Linked DNA regions of Caenorhabditis elegans. The protein of the gene in region 2 purifies or fractionates together with the protein of the main gene of each other region. This does not show direct contact. Each region holds a gene or a part of one and is shown on either strand. Other genes may lie near its edges.

Region 1 (5,834 bases), on a different chromosome or scaffold from region 2:
CGGAGCTGTGATGAATGCATCATGGGTCTCAATGCTCATTCTCAGCATATTTTTAAATATTAATCGGCTCATTTCAATTGTTTTTCATTTTCAATCCAACAAAATATTTAATTCTTTCAATATGAAAGTAGGTTATTAACATGATTTATCTTTTTTTCAATTCCGTCCTTTCAGATATATTTCACTATAGTTCTAATTGTATGGTGTATAGTTTGTTTTTTAAATGCTTTTGGATTCAGTAGAATGGTTTATTTATTACCTGCTTACACGTGGCACTATGCCGTGAGTACAACTGTGAGAAGTCCCACTTTATGTTTGGCGAAAGCTTCGCATATTGCCAAATGATAGTCAACTTTTCAATTTTATTTCCAGGCTTCAAATCCATTATCAGCTGTATTAAGGTCTGTAAGTGCTGATATATCTTTAATAGATGTCGTATTCTCATTATTTGCTCATTTGGTTATCTTCAGTTATATTTATTTTGTGAGTAAAACATACATATAATTTCGTTTCAAAGAAAATTGAAGAAAAAAACTTATCGAAAACTGTTTCTACAGTATTTCATGCAAAAAACTTTCAAGTACAATATCATCTACAGCTACCCCATGATTTTCGAATTAAATTTTCAATTCGTCAAATCTCAAAACGTTTTAGGTATATGAAAAAAATTTCACAGTAGTCGCAAACAAAGGGCAGATATTTGTATTAAGAATGTTTTGAAACTTTTCATTTCCCTTCAGAAGAGCTAATGTTTCATTATTTTTCAACATTTGTTGATTTTCAGAAAGCAGCATTATTGTCAAAGAAAGAATTAATATTGACAATTCAAGTATTATGTGTTTCTATATTTCATGTTATTGGGTATTTGACATGGGAATATCTACCAATTCCATGGGAATTACCAATTGGAGTGTTCATTGGACATGTTGTATGGATGATTTGGAATTCAATCAATTCAATGCTTTATGTATTAATTAATCCGTAAGTTTTAGAACTTTGGTTGACTGAAAACATTTTTAAAAAAAGTTGCAGTCGTATTCGTAACCTGGTATTAGCATCAATTGGAAAACAAACAGAAGTCAGTGGACGTACAATGTTTGTTGCTTCGCACGTATCAACAGTTCGACAATCCGGAGCTAAAATGTAGTCAGGTCTTCAAATAAAATATAACTTTTAGTTTTTAGAATTTAAGAAATAGAAAGATATCATTAGAAAAAATAATTATGTCTAGAAATAAAAACAATTTATTTCTTGTCATCGATTTCCAAACATTTATTTATAGGTCCATGAAATCTAGACACAGAAATCTTTTTACATGAAGCCTAATTTACTGCTAACAACTGAAATGAGAGGAAACAGATCCTCTCGATATTTTCAATTTTAAGGAATATTCTGCAAGTATAGGTGGACAGAGTAAAAAAGCTTTTGTCAAAGTAAAACATTGATAAACTGATAACACACAGAAACAAATAAAAACCGTCGTAAAACAGAGACACCATCACTTCATAATAAAAATGTTTGTGTTTTGTTATCAAGGGAAACTACCGATTGAATTTTTTTTTGAAATTTTGAAGATTTTCTGGCAAATCGAGAAAAAAAAATTAATGTACGTATATCTCCAATTCGAAGCTTTGATTTTATTATAAGAACAGAGAAACATTAGATTTTTATTGGTTTTTGAAACACCAACACAGATTTCAAAGTTATATAATATTTGCGATATTTAAAATCGATTTCAAAGTTCTTTTTATTTTCTACTTCTGATTTTTTTTCGATTATTAATTCTTTCATCTACAAGCAATAAAAACACAATAATATTTGCCTCGTTATCAAATTTATCTTATCAATTGAAAAATTGAGCAACACTGTTCAATTTGACCAGTCTAAAAGACATTTTTCATTGAAAAAGTTGCCAATTTCTGAGTGTATTTTTCCAAAAATGTTCAAGATTTCAAAGTTCACAAAATAATACTTATAAATGCATAAACTCATGCTCTCCTCATCCATCGTTTTCCTGTGATTATCTCAAAAGTTTCTATTTTTAGTGTTTTTTGGTTCCTTGTTCATTTTTTATTTTGTGTGATTTTTACGTCTCGAATAAAAAATATTAAACAAAATGTTAGAAATTGAATTTTACAAGACTATCGACTTGATACAATACATCGACGAATTGTGTGAAATGACCGACGGAAAATCACTTGGTAAGTAATTTCATTTTGAATTTTTTTAAATTAATTTTTCAAGCAATCCCGGAATAAATATAATTCATTTCTATTCTTTAAAATTATTTATTGAACTAGACATTCCACCAGGTCGAGGCGTTACGGGGGCACCTCTTCCCCGCCTCTAACCTCACCCACCTCGCTCCTTGATTTGGAAAACCCTTTTTTGTGTATTTAACAAATGAAAACTACTACAATAATGAACTAAAATAAACTGCAAGTATAAAGCTAAACATTTTTAATTTTCAGCCATTATATCGGTCTCTGACAAGACAGGACTTATTCCTCTTGCTCATGGACTTGTATCTGCTGGCTTAACACTTATTGCGTCCGGTGGAACAGCGAAAGCGATCAGAGATCAAGGAATTGATGTTCATGATGTGGCAGATGTAACAAAGTTTCCTGAGATGCTTGGTGGAAGAGTTAAAACTCTGCATCCTGCCGTTCATGGAGGAATCTTGGCAAGAGATACGGAAAGTGATCGAAAGGATCTAGAGGTGAGATAGCTTATTTTCTTTTTTTTTTGAATTTTTTTTATTTGTAAACTAACTTGTTTGTTGTCGAACCGTTTTCAACTGAAACTTGCAAATTATATTAAGTGGAAATAAATAAATTTGCAACATTTGTGCAAAACAATTCTGACAAAAGATCGGATTTTGTAGAACTTCCGGGAATCTCACAAAATGAACTTTGTACTGGCTTGAAAGATTTCACCATTACTTAGTTTAATCGAATTCATGATTGAATAGAATGAAGTGAAGAAAAAAAACCAAAAAAAGAAGGGCTAACGGGTGACAAAAAGTTGGTCCTTTCGTCAGATGAAGAAGGCTTATCTCGTGAAAATAAAGAGTTGAGAAGGAGACAAAAAGAAGATTAGAAGACAATTTTTCGTCCTCTTTTTCTTCATTTTGTCGTCACGACTTCATTCAAATTTCAATTCTTATTTCGAATTATATAATTTTTTTTTAAATAAACATTATATCTCGCTTTTGTTTAAAAAAAAAGTTAGTCTAATCTGAAACTTTGACAATTGTTTGTTAATTTTTTGAAGTTGGATTACAATTTTTTGGAAAACGGGTTAGAGAGTTTTTTCGGATTTTTTTGAATCAATTTTTTGTTACTTGCGCATTTCGCAACCTATGTCTTGCCTCTTGTTGGGATTAAAGTGCCAGCCCTGATGGCTAGAACACTTTGAGACAAAGTTGAGATATGTCACCTTTAAAATTAAATTATTAATTAGAAACCGAAAAAAAATTTCATAAAGTTAGCGTTCAGTTGAACGGAGAACGGCAAAATATTAGTCAAAAAACTTTGTTTGCCGGAAAATTGTATTACAGTCATATTGCATTTCAGGATAAACATTGAATCTCTGAGATAATCAAAAAATAATACTCCAGGAACATTATATTATTTGAAATTCTATTGTGTATTTTTAGAAATATTTTATCAATTCAGAGTGAAAATAAGATTTTTGTGAGATAATCTGTAAACCTTCAACTTTCGTCATCAACCATAGAGTAAAATTAAACTTGGAACATCCATAAAAATTGGCGTAAAAATCAACGAACACAACTGATTGGGGTGTTGTTATGATGCACCGAGAGCAAGCCTACGTGTCAGTTTCTACCGCCCGTGTCTATTCAATTACCTTCTCTTTCTATTTTCAATTGAATTTGTTTCATCTTCTTTTCCTTCCTTGTATTTTTTGGTTATTTTCTTTCTTCCAGAAACACAACATTTCATTCGTCTCAGTGGTGGTTTGCAACTTGTATCCATTCAAAAAAACTGTTCAATCCAAGGATTGCTCTGTAGAAGAAGCTGTTGAGAACATTGACATTGGTTCGTTTATTTCTTTCTTTTTTTGAGTTTATTCATCCGGAAAATTGACTTTGTTTTATGTTGCCATCTTTCTTTTTCCCCTTGTTCCTTTTGATTTCAATTTATGCACTTGACTTATTTTGCTCCTTTCGTGACTTCTAACCCTAAACCAAACATCAACATTTTTTCACAGGAACAGCTTAAATTGAAATCAGAAAATCATTTTAGCAGAACTTCATAACCAAAACATACGGCCTAGATTAAAAAGTTGAATTTTTTCAAATTTAAAGTGTTCATCCTGTTTTTAAATAAGTTACCAAATATTATAGTTCATTGGAATAGCATATAATTTTAAGGGGTGTAATTCTACTTCAAGCTAATAATTCAATCAAGTTAAAACGGATGTTCGTCAATGAAATAGACCATTCTTGCATTTTCAAAGACTTACAATGTTCAATTGAAAATAATTTAAACATTATCAAAATATATTTTTTGTATAAAAAATAATATTTCGGTCGCCTTCCATTATTATGATAGGGGGAAAATTGTCACTTTTGGATGAAAATAAAAATTCAAGATTTTTGATAAGTTTTACTATGTTATGTAATTCGTCATTTTAGCATTAGTGAATGATTTAATAATTGGCAATATTATCACATACAATACTATGATCAAGTAGTTTTATTTGAGCTAATTGAAATATCAATTTCGTGAAATTGGGCACGTTCAGGTTCTGAAAAATCGTTCTCTACTTATCACTGTGAAAACATGTATGTATTGTTCTTCTCCCTTCCTAAATCCTTTCTGACACCAAAACAATTATATTTTCTTCTTGTTCGTCTTTTTTAGTTCCTCAAAATATAAATTCAATTAACACGGAAGCTGGAGAATTCACAAAAAAAGACAATACAACCAACAAAAAACTGAGAAAATAATAATTCGTTTACACTTTCATTCTATACTTCCTCTCAATAAGTTCATATAATCTGTGATCATCTTCAGAAAATTCTTTCAGAAACATTTAAAGGAGCAAATCTTACGAATGCATCATTTCGTAAAGCTTGAGCTCTAGTTTTTGGTATCATTGAAATTTCCATATTATAACTTCTAATCGAATGGTTTTTTTAATATTAAAAAAAGGATAAGGTTATAGACATTTTATGATCTTAGCACAAAGTACAAAAAAGTGGAAATATTCGTTCAATTGTACCCATTGTATTTGTTTTTCCAACCGTTTCCTACATTTTTATCCCATTAAAAGGGCTTTTGTTTCATGAATCTTTCACCTTTTTTCCTGTTTTTCCGGGTATGTAAAACCCGCCCAGATTTTTTCTAGAATCTATATCACAATATAAACTCATATTCTTAAAATGTTGTTGTGTCCGGTTTTATTATTAATTGTACAGTAGGACATCAGAGAGTAAATCTATAAACCTTCAATTGTCCCCGTGGGTCCATTTTCATTGTAGCTATAAAAGAGAATGAAACGTTCGATTTCAACTACATTCTCAATTTCAGGAGGAGTCACGCTTCTTCGAGCAGCTGCCAAGAATCACGAACGTGTCAGTGTGATCTGTGATCCTGCTGACTACGATCATATCATTTCGGAGGTTAGTTTTAGATGGTTAATAAATCATCACAACCGATGAAAGCTTCAATAAGGCCAGTAAATAAATATGTGGGAAATAATACTAAGCTACTAAATTACAATGATTAAACATTGTTATCAGATATTTATATGATTTTTTTTCTACAGTTCACTTGCCAGTTTTTTAATTTTATTGAACATATTTT
Region 2 (6,670 bases):
GCCAATAATAACACTTTAATTGTATAAAGGAGGATGTCATATTATGAGAAACCCAAATAATACATTTCATCTGGTATATCTTAAATGTTCAATTTCTTTGCTTCATTCACAATTCCAAAAATGATTTATACTTGTTTGACAATTGTTCTGTCAGTCTACCACTTCCCATTTCCCCTATTAAATCCTGTAGCATTGCTACAACTGTTTCTTGCCAAAAACTTTTCAGCTATTATTTCATGTACTTTATTTTTATTCTTATTTTTACTCCTGCTGTGCCACTTTGTATGAAATGATTTCAACAAATAATTTTTTTCAGAATCATAAATTTCAGCATTTAAAGAAACAAACATGTCAGGCTACACGAAGGAAGAAAAAGTAAAAGTGCATTAGAAGATTTTATACTTGTTTTTTTAATCTTCAATGAAGCAACAGACATCTCAATTAAAAGCTTTTAAAAAATGTCAAAGGAAATTGCCAGAAAAACTAAAAATCTAAGTTTTTCAATACTAAATCCCCTTTTTCAAATATTTTCGAGCTAACTTACTTGCTACGATTTTCAACAAATAAGTATCTGTAAAAAAGTTTTGCATTGTCTTTTTTGATAGGAAGATATAAAAACAACAATGCAATTTCCATGTCAAAAATAATATGCATGGTCTTGATACAAACTGCAAAAAAAATTATTAAAAAAAAAGCATTACTACCCAAACTATTATATCCCGTTTTTAAGTAGAAATACTGAATAACCAATTTTTGGAAAAATGTATCATAGTTATGATACACAGATATTGTGTTGAGCTGATGAAAAAGTAATTGAATCCAGCAAATTTCAATTTCATAGCCAATCAACTGCTATGATCATATGATGACGTGACAACAGGAAAAACCGGGTTTTTTCTGAAATAACAGGTTTTCGGCAAATATGTCCTGGCAGACAGAAATATTTTTTTTAATTCAATTTTATTGGTCTTCAAAAAATATGCTCTTATATACTCTTTTTATTTACAATTTCAGTATTAAATTCTTATATAAAATCACAATGTTACGCATATCACAAATAATCTGTAGAAAGAAGTATGAAAGCATTGTTTAGAATAGCCCATCAATGATCTCAGTGACTGGGTCAATGGTGATGTCGTAGAAGCACGGACGAGTGTTGAGTCCTGGCATTGTGGTCATTTCACCAACCAATGGGTAAATGAATCCAGCTCCAACGGATGCACGCACGTCGCGAATCGGAAGTGTGAAACCTACAAAAACTCTATCTTGATTTGAAAATAGTTGTTTGAATAGTTTGGTAGGAAATTGTTTATGCATAGTCAATATCGAGTTTCATTAACCAATCATAATGTTGAACTTTTAGTACCTAAACTATAAACATTAAAACATCAACAGAGTGTTTATAATTGACCGGTATCTAATAATTTGATTTCTTACCAGTTGGAGCACCCTTCTTTGTTGGGTCTGATGAAAGGGACAAATGAGTTTTTGCCATACAAATTGGCAACTTCGAGAATCCCTGTCTTGTGTATCTTTCCAATTTCTGTTTGGCCTCGTCAGATAGTTCAATGCCATCAGCACCATAGATTTCTTTGGCGATAGTAGCGATCTTGTCTTCCAATGACAAATCCAGGTTGTAAAGGAATTTGAATTGCTTTGGATGTCCAGTTGTAGCATTGACCAGAGAATTGGCGAGAGCAACCGCACCAGCGCCTCCTTGTGACCAGTGTTCGGAAACCACTGCATCAAATGCTCCGTATTCCTTGGCCTTGGAGCAAACAAGTTCCAACTCCTTGTCGGTATCGGTTGCGAACTTGTTCACGCAGACAACAACAGGGATTCCAAATTTGTTTGCATTCTCAATCTGCTTTCTAAGATTTGAATCGCATCCTCCTTCAACAAGTGGAATGTTTTCGTCAAGGTATTCGTGTTTCAGTGGAGCTCCTGCTACAACAGATGGACCACCTCCATGCATCTTAAGAGCTCTTACAGTTGCTACAAGGACAACTGCTGATGGCTGAAGTCCCGAGTAACGGCACTTGATGTTGAAGAACTTCTCCATTCCGATATCGGCTCCGAATCCAGCTTCAGTGATCACAAATCCGTCGGGTCCGGCAAGTTTCAAAGCAACCTTGTCAGCAAGAATACTGCTTTGTCCATGTGCAATATTAGCGAAGGGTCCGGCATGGACAAAAACCGGAGTACCCTCCAAAGTTTGCATCAGGTTTGGGCGAACGGTGTCTCGCATAAGAACTGTCAAAGCCCCAGTTACTCCAATATCATCAGCGGTTACTGGATTGCCAGCCTTGTCGGATCCGATCACAATTCGTGCAATTCTTTCTTGCATATCAGCGAGAGAAGTTGTCAACGCAAGAATCGCCATGAGCTACAAATAAGAATTAATAAATTAAAATTGCCATGAAATTGTTTTGACTAACCTCACTAGCAACAGTAATATCAAACTGAGTAGTTCGGGTGTGTCCCTTCTCATTCGGTCCCATTCCAATTTCAATCTTTCTTAAGAATCTATCGTTCGTATCCATCACACGGTTCCAGGTGATAGTTGCAGGATCTATGTTGAGACGAGCAAAGCTAACTCTCTGCTCTTCGCTAAGATTTTCAGCATCATCTACACGTGGGATTCCAAGACGGTCGAGGCGACGAAGTTGGATCTCCGAAAGTGGGCGGACTCCTGAAAAGTAAGTATTAATGTATTTATTTCTATGCCATAAAAAGGGACTTCAAACAAACCCTTCTTGTTCTTTGGTGCCAATCTGTTGAATAGTGCATCAGTTGCTTGGGTTGACTCATGGAACATTCTAGCATCGATTGCAGCAGCAAGAAGATTATTGGCTGCAGTAATTGCATGGATATCTCCTGTCAAATGAAGATTGAACTCCTCCATCGGAATAACCTGAGAGTATCCTCCTCCAGCAGCTCCTCCTTTAATTCCAAACGTTGGTCCTTGCGATGGCTGGCGTACACATGCGAACACCTTTTTGTGAAGATGAGCTCCGAGAGCTTGAACTAGTCCGATTGTCGTTGTGGATTTTCCTTCTCCAAGAGGTGTTGGCGTAATACCAGCAACTACAACGTACTTTCCATTTTTAACCTCGCTCAGTCTATCCAAAATGTCAAGAGAAACCTTTGCCTTCTTGCGTCCATAAAGGTCAAGCTCTTCTTGTTTGATTCCAATTTCCCCAGCTACCTGAAAATAATGAAGATAAGTTTTTTTTAAATTAAATATTCTTGAGTGCCTTTTCGATGTCCTTTGGTGGTTGAGCTCTCGAAATAGCAATATCCGATGGAACAGGAGTTAACAGGGTGGGCTTCAAGTATTCAACATTCCATGTGCTCTGAAATAAAAAATAATTCAACGAAATTATAATGTTTGATTTGGAACATTTAATCGAATTACCATTCGGTCAAATTTGCGGCGCAAGCAGCGTGAAAAATTGAAAATTGAAGTTGATGAAAAGATAGAAATTGTGACTTAAATGTTTATGGGAACTTCGATCAAAAATTCTTATTTTTTTATATTTTGATTCTTATCAATCAATAAAATAGATTGACAATAGTGATAATGTTGCAATTCGCAACTTGACTTTAAAAAACGATAAAACGCACGGACAGGTTTATCAGAAGAAAGTAACATATTTTAGGTTTTCCAGAAATGTATGACAACATATCAAACTGGGACATATTAAGTTTTTATTAGTCAACATAAACAAAAAAGACGCTTTTTCAAGATTAATTTCTATGTACATATTAATTTAACAGATAATACTCTTTTTTTTATCTTCAGACTCTTTTTTTTTTTGAAAATGTATTTTTACAGTGTGGAGTTATTATACACAAGTTCTGTTTTTTTTGCTCACGCTCAAAACATGAACAAATTATTTTTGTTATTTTTGGAGTTTTCAAAATTGCATTTTCCGTTTAAAAATCAAATCCCAAAACGTTAGTGTTACTTACCATGTTTCACAATTCAAGAGAAACCAATGAATCAACGAAAATAAAAAGCGAGTGATTCAAACAACTGCAGAGCGATGGCCACTAAATACAAACACCTTGATAAGGCAGTGGGCAGAACAAGTAATCGAGTCAGTATCAGATATTAGGAGACGCACAGAAAACATGCACGGGGGGCATTTGCCGGGTCTGCCTTATTGATCGCGTCCTCTGATTTGTTCGATGTTGCGTCGCTCTCGTGCATCTAAACATCTAAACTAACCACGTGCATTTATCGCGAGACCATGGTCTTTTTACAAATCAGGGCTAATTGTGTCCTTGGTCATTGTTTATTTCGGTGGAAAGTGACAATAAAAAGAAAATACAAATTGAAAAGATTAGATTAAAAAAAGGTATGAAGAGGACTTCAAGTTCCAGAACGTCACAACAAATTTTAAAGAGTAAAAAGTCAAACCAAAAAGCACATTATAAATAGTTCATTCGCAAATGATGTGGTGGAAGTGGGTGCTTGAAGTTCACTCATCATCGTCATCCTGAAAAGTAGGTTCTGTGAAATACAACACTTACAAATATTTTTAACATATTTTCAATCGATTTTGTGTGAGGCACACTATAGTTGCAGAACAACTTTACATTCGGTGTAAATAATGAAGACAATGTCCATGAAATTTGCTTGTTTCGTAGAGTTTATCGCTCAATGAATTTTTGAAGTTCTTTGAGTCGATAACGTGCTATCGGTGTCTTTTGTAATTTTTGAAATAAACTCTGGTGCATCAGTATCAACCCCACACGCAAAACAAACTGTTTGGCACTATCCACGCTTAGGCCAGAACATCAAAAAACCTGCACAAACTTAGTGTCGCAAAAGGAAAGCTATTTTACCTTTTGTCCAAGACGTCGTCTCTTAGCCTGCTCAAATGTGTTACGGATGAGCATGGCAACAGTCATTGGTCCAACGCCTCCGGGGACAGGTGTGAGGAATCCGGCGACTTCCTTTGCGGCTTCTGTGTCAACATCTCCGTAAATTTTGCGTGAGTTTGGGTCGTCACCAACGTTGATTCCACAGTCGATGACGAATGCGCCAGGCTTGATCCAATCAGCTGAAATATATGCTTTTATTTGTAAAAAACGCTGACACTTATCAGAACAGAGAGTCTGTTTCTATTTGATGCAAAACAATTCAGAAGTTGCAAACAGTCAGGTGCATACTAAACATTGATAGTTCTTAAATTGGGGTTTCTATTATAGATATTTTGCATAATTTAATGACTTACAAACTTTTAGGTTAGCAAGTAAATACCGTGCTGCTCATATAAAGGTCTACTCGTAATAACTTTTGCCAAGATTCTTCTTTTAAATGGATTTGGGCGTAATTATGAAAAAAGCAACGCGAAATTTGTTCAATGATGAATTCCAAAAAATCAGGATATAAAAACTTTCACTATTTTACTATAGTCAGATCTCAGCTCGGAATAACCACGTTTGCTGAAGTTGAAATCAATCTTTTGATATCTGTATGGCCAGTACTGTGCACTATCTCAAATTTAGGTTTATTGATAATCTACCTTTGACGAAATGTTTTCTCCCAATTGCCACAATCAAAATATCTGCTCTCAGGCATTTCTCCTTGAGATTTGGAGTTTTTGAGTGGCAGATTGTCACAGTTCCATGATGCCACAAGAAAAGCGCAGCGGCTGGAGATCCGACAATTTTCGAGCGTCCCAAAACAACCACCTCCTTTCCAGACACAAAGTTGGCATCACCAGTTGCCTGTTGAACCAAGTACAAGCATCCAAACGGAGTGCAAGGAAAGATCGTACGCTGGAGTTCTCCACGAGCCAAACGTCCAGCATTGATACGAGTCAGTCCATCGACATCTTTCAATGGGTCAATCAAGTCGATAACAGAGTCTGCGTCGATTTCGTGCTTGCAGTCCAGTGGAAGCTGAAATTAATAACTTGCTATTATTGTTTAGCTTCCGATGTTTTTTTTTAATTAACTGAGATGTGTTTTTTTTCCGTTATAAGTTAACATTTCAATATTACAACTTAATCCGTTATATTAACCTGAATGATAATTCCGTCAATCTCGTTGTCATGATTAAGAGCCATAATCTCTCGCTTCAAATCTCCTTGAGTGATGGTGTCTGGCAACTTAATGAGTTTTCCATCTGCTCCGATTTCCTTTGCTTTTTTCAGTTTGGAATTAATGTACACATTGGAGTCTGAACGATTTCCAACCTGCAAATTTTGAGACTTTGAGTTATTCAGTATAACAGATATCCCCTCGGATATTATTTGTCTTGTTACGAAATAAAAGCCGGTATCTCAAAAGTACACCACAACTACAAATTACGCTCTGCAAAACTTTCAAAATCTGTTTTGTAAGTATGCAATGCACTTATGTACGTCATGAACTCAAAACACAGATTGGACAGAGATTTTCATTTTCATATATTCAATTTAGAAATATTATTAAGTTAATAGCAATGCTTGAAATAAAATTATTATCAGTGGTAAGCTTTCATACCTGAACAATTGCCAATACTGCATGAAAATTTGGGTGGTGCTCACGGGTTTTTGCGATTTTCTGTCCGACATCGTGAAGAACCTTTTTTGAGTACTCGAGTCCACTGACGATCTCCGCGACCATTCTAAAAAATAAACAAAGTAATAATCAAGTTGAAAAATACGTCAAG

The links. Proteins that work in one complex are often made in the same cells at the same time.
Region 1: the proteins of K07E3.4 (region 2) and atic-1 fractionate together in Caenorhabditis elegans (co-fractionation; one large-scale study listed by BioGRID). This does not show direct contact.

Annotation. Positions count from the first base shown.
Region 1 is NC_003282.8:7,879,888-7,885,721, forward strand, and holds the start of atic-1 (Bifunctional purine biosynthesis protein ATIC), read left to right. Parts: upstream 1-2,140; 5' UTR 2,141-2,179; coding exon 2,180-2,201; intron 2,202-2,471; coding exon 2,472-2,719; intron 2,720-3,949; coding exon 3,950-4,061; intron 4,062-5,558; coding exon 5,559-5,650; exon of another isoform or gene 5,651-5,683; intron 5,684-5,834. Other genes in the region: srt-73 (Serpentine Receptor, class T), read left to right, coding at 1-127, 175-282, 373-483, 785-981, 1,033-1,147.
Region 2 is NC_003284.9:8,079,926-8,086,595, forward strand, and holds K07E3.4 (formate--tetrahydrofolate ligase), read right to left. Parts: upstream 4,094-6,670; 5' UTR 3,979-4,093; coding exon 3,976-3,978; intron 3,478-3,975; exon of another isoform or gene 3,422-3,477; coding exon of another isoform or gene 3,419-3,421; intron 3,357-3,418; coding exon 3,258-3,356; intron 3,209-3,257; coding exon 2,752-3,208; intron 2,693-2,751; coding exon 2,439-2,692; intron 2,387-2,438; coding exon 1,438-2,386; intron 1,251-1,437; coding exon 1,090-1,250; 3' UTR 944-1,089; downstream 1-943. Other genes in the region: dao-3 (C-1-tetrahydrofolate synthase, cytoplasmic), read right to left, coding at 4,488-4,505, 4,855-5,072, 5,538-5,916, 6,039-6,212, 6,502-6,624.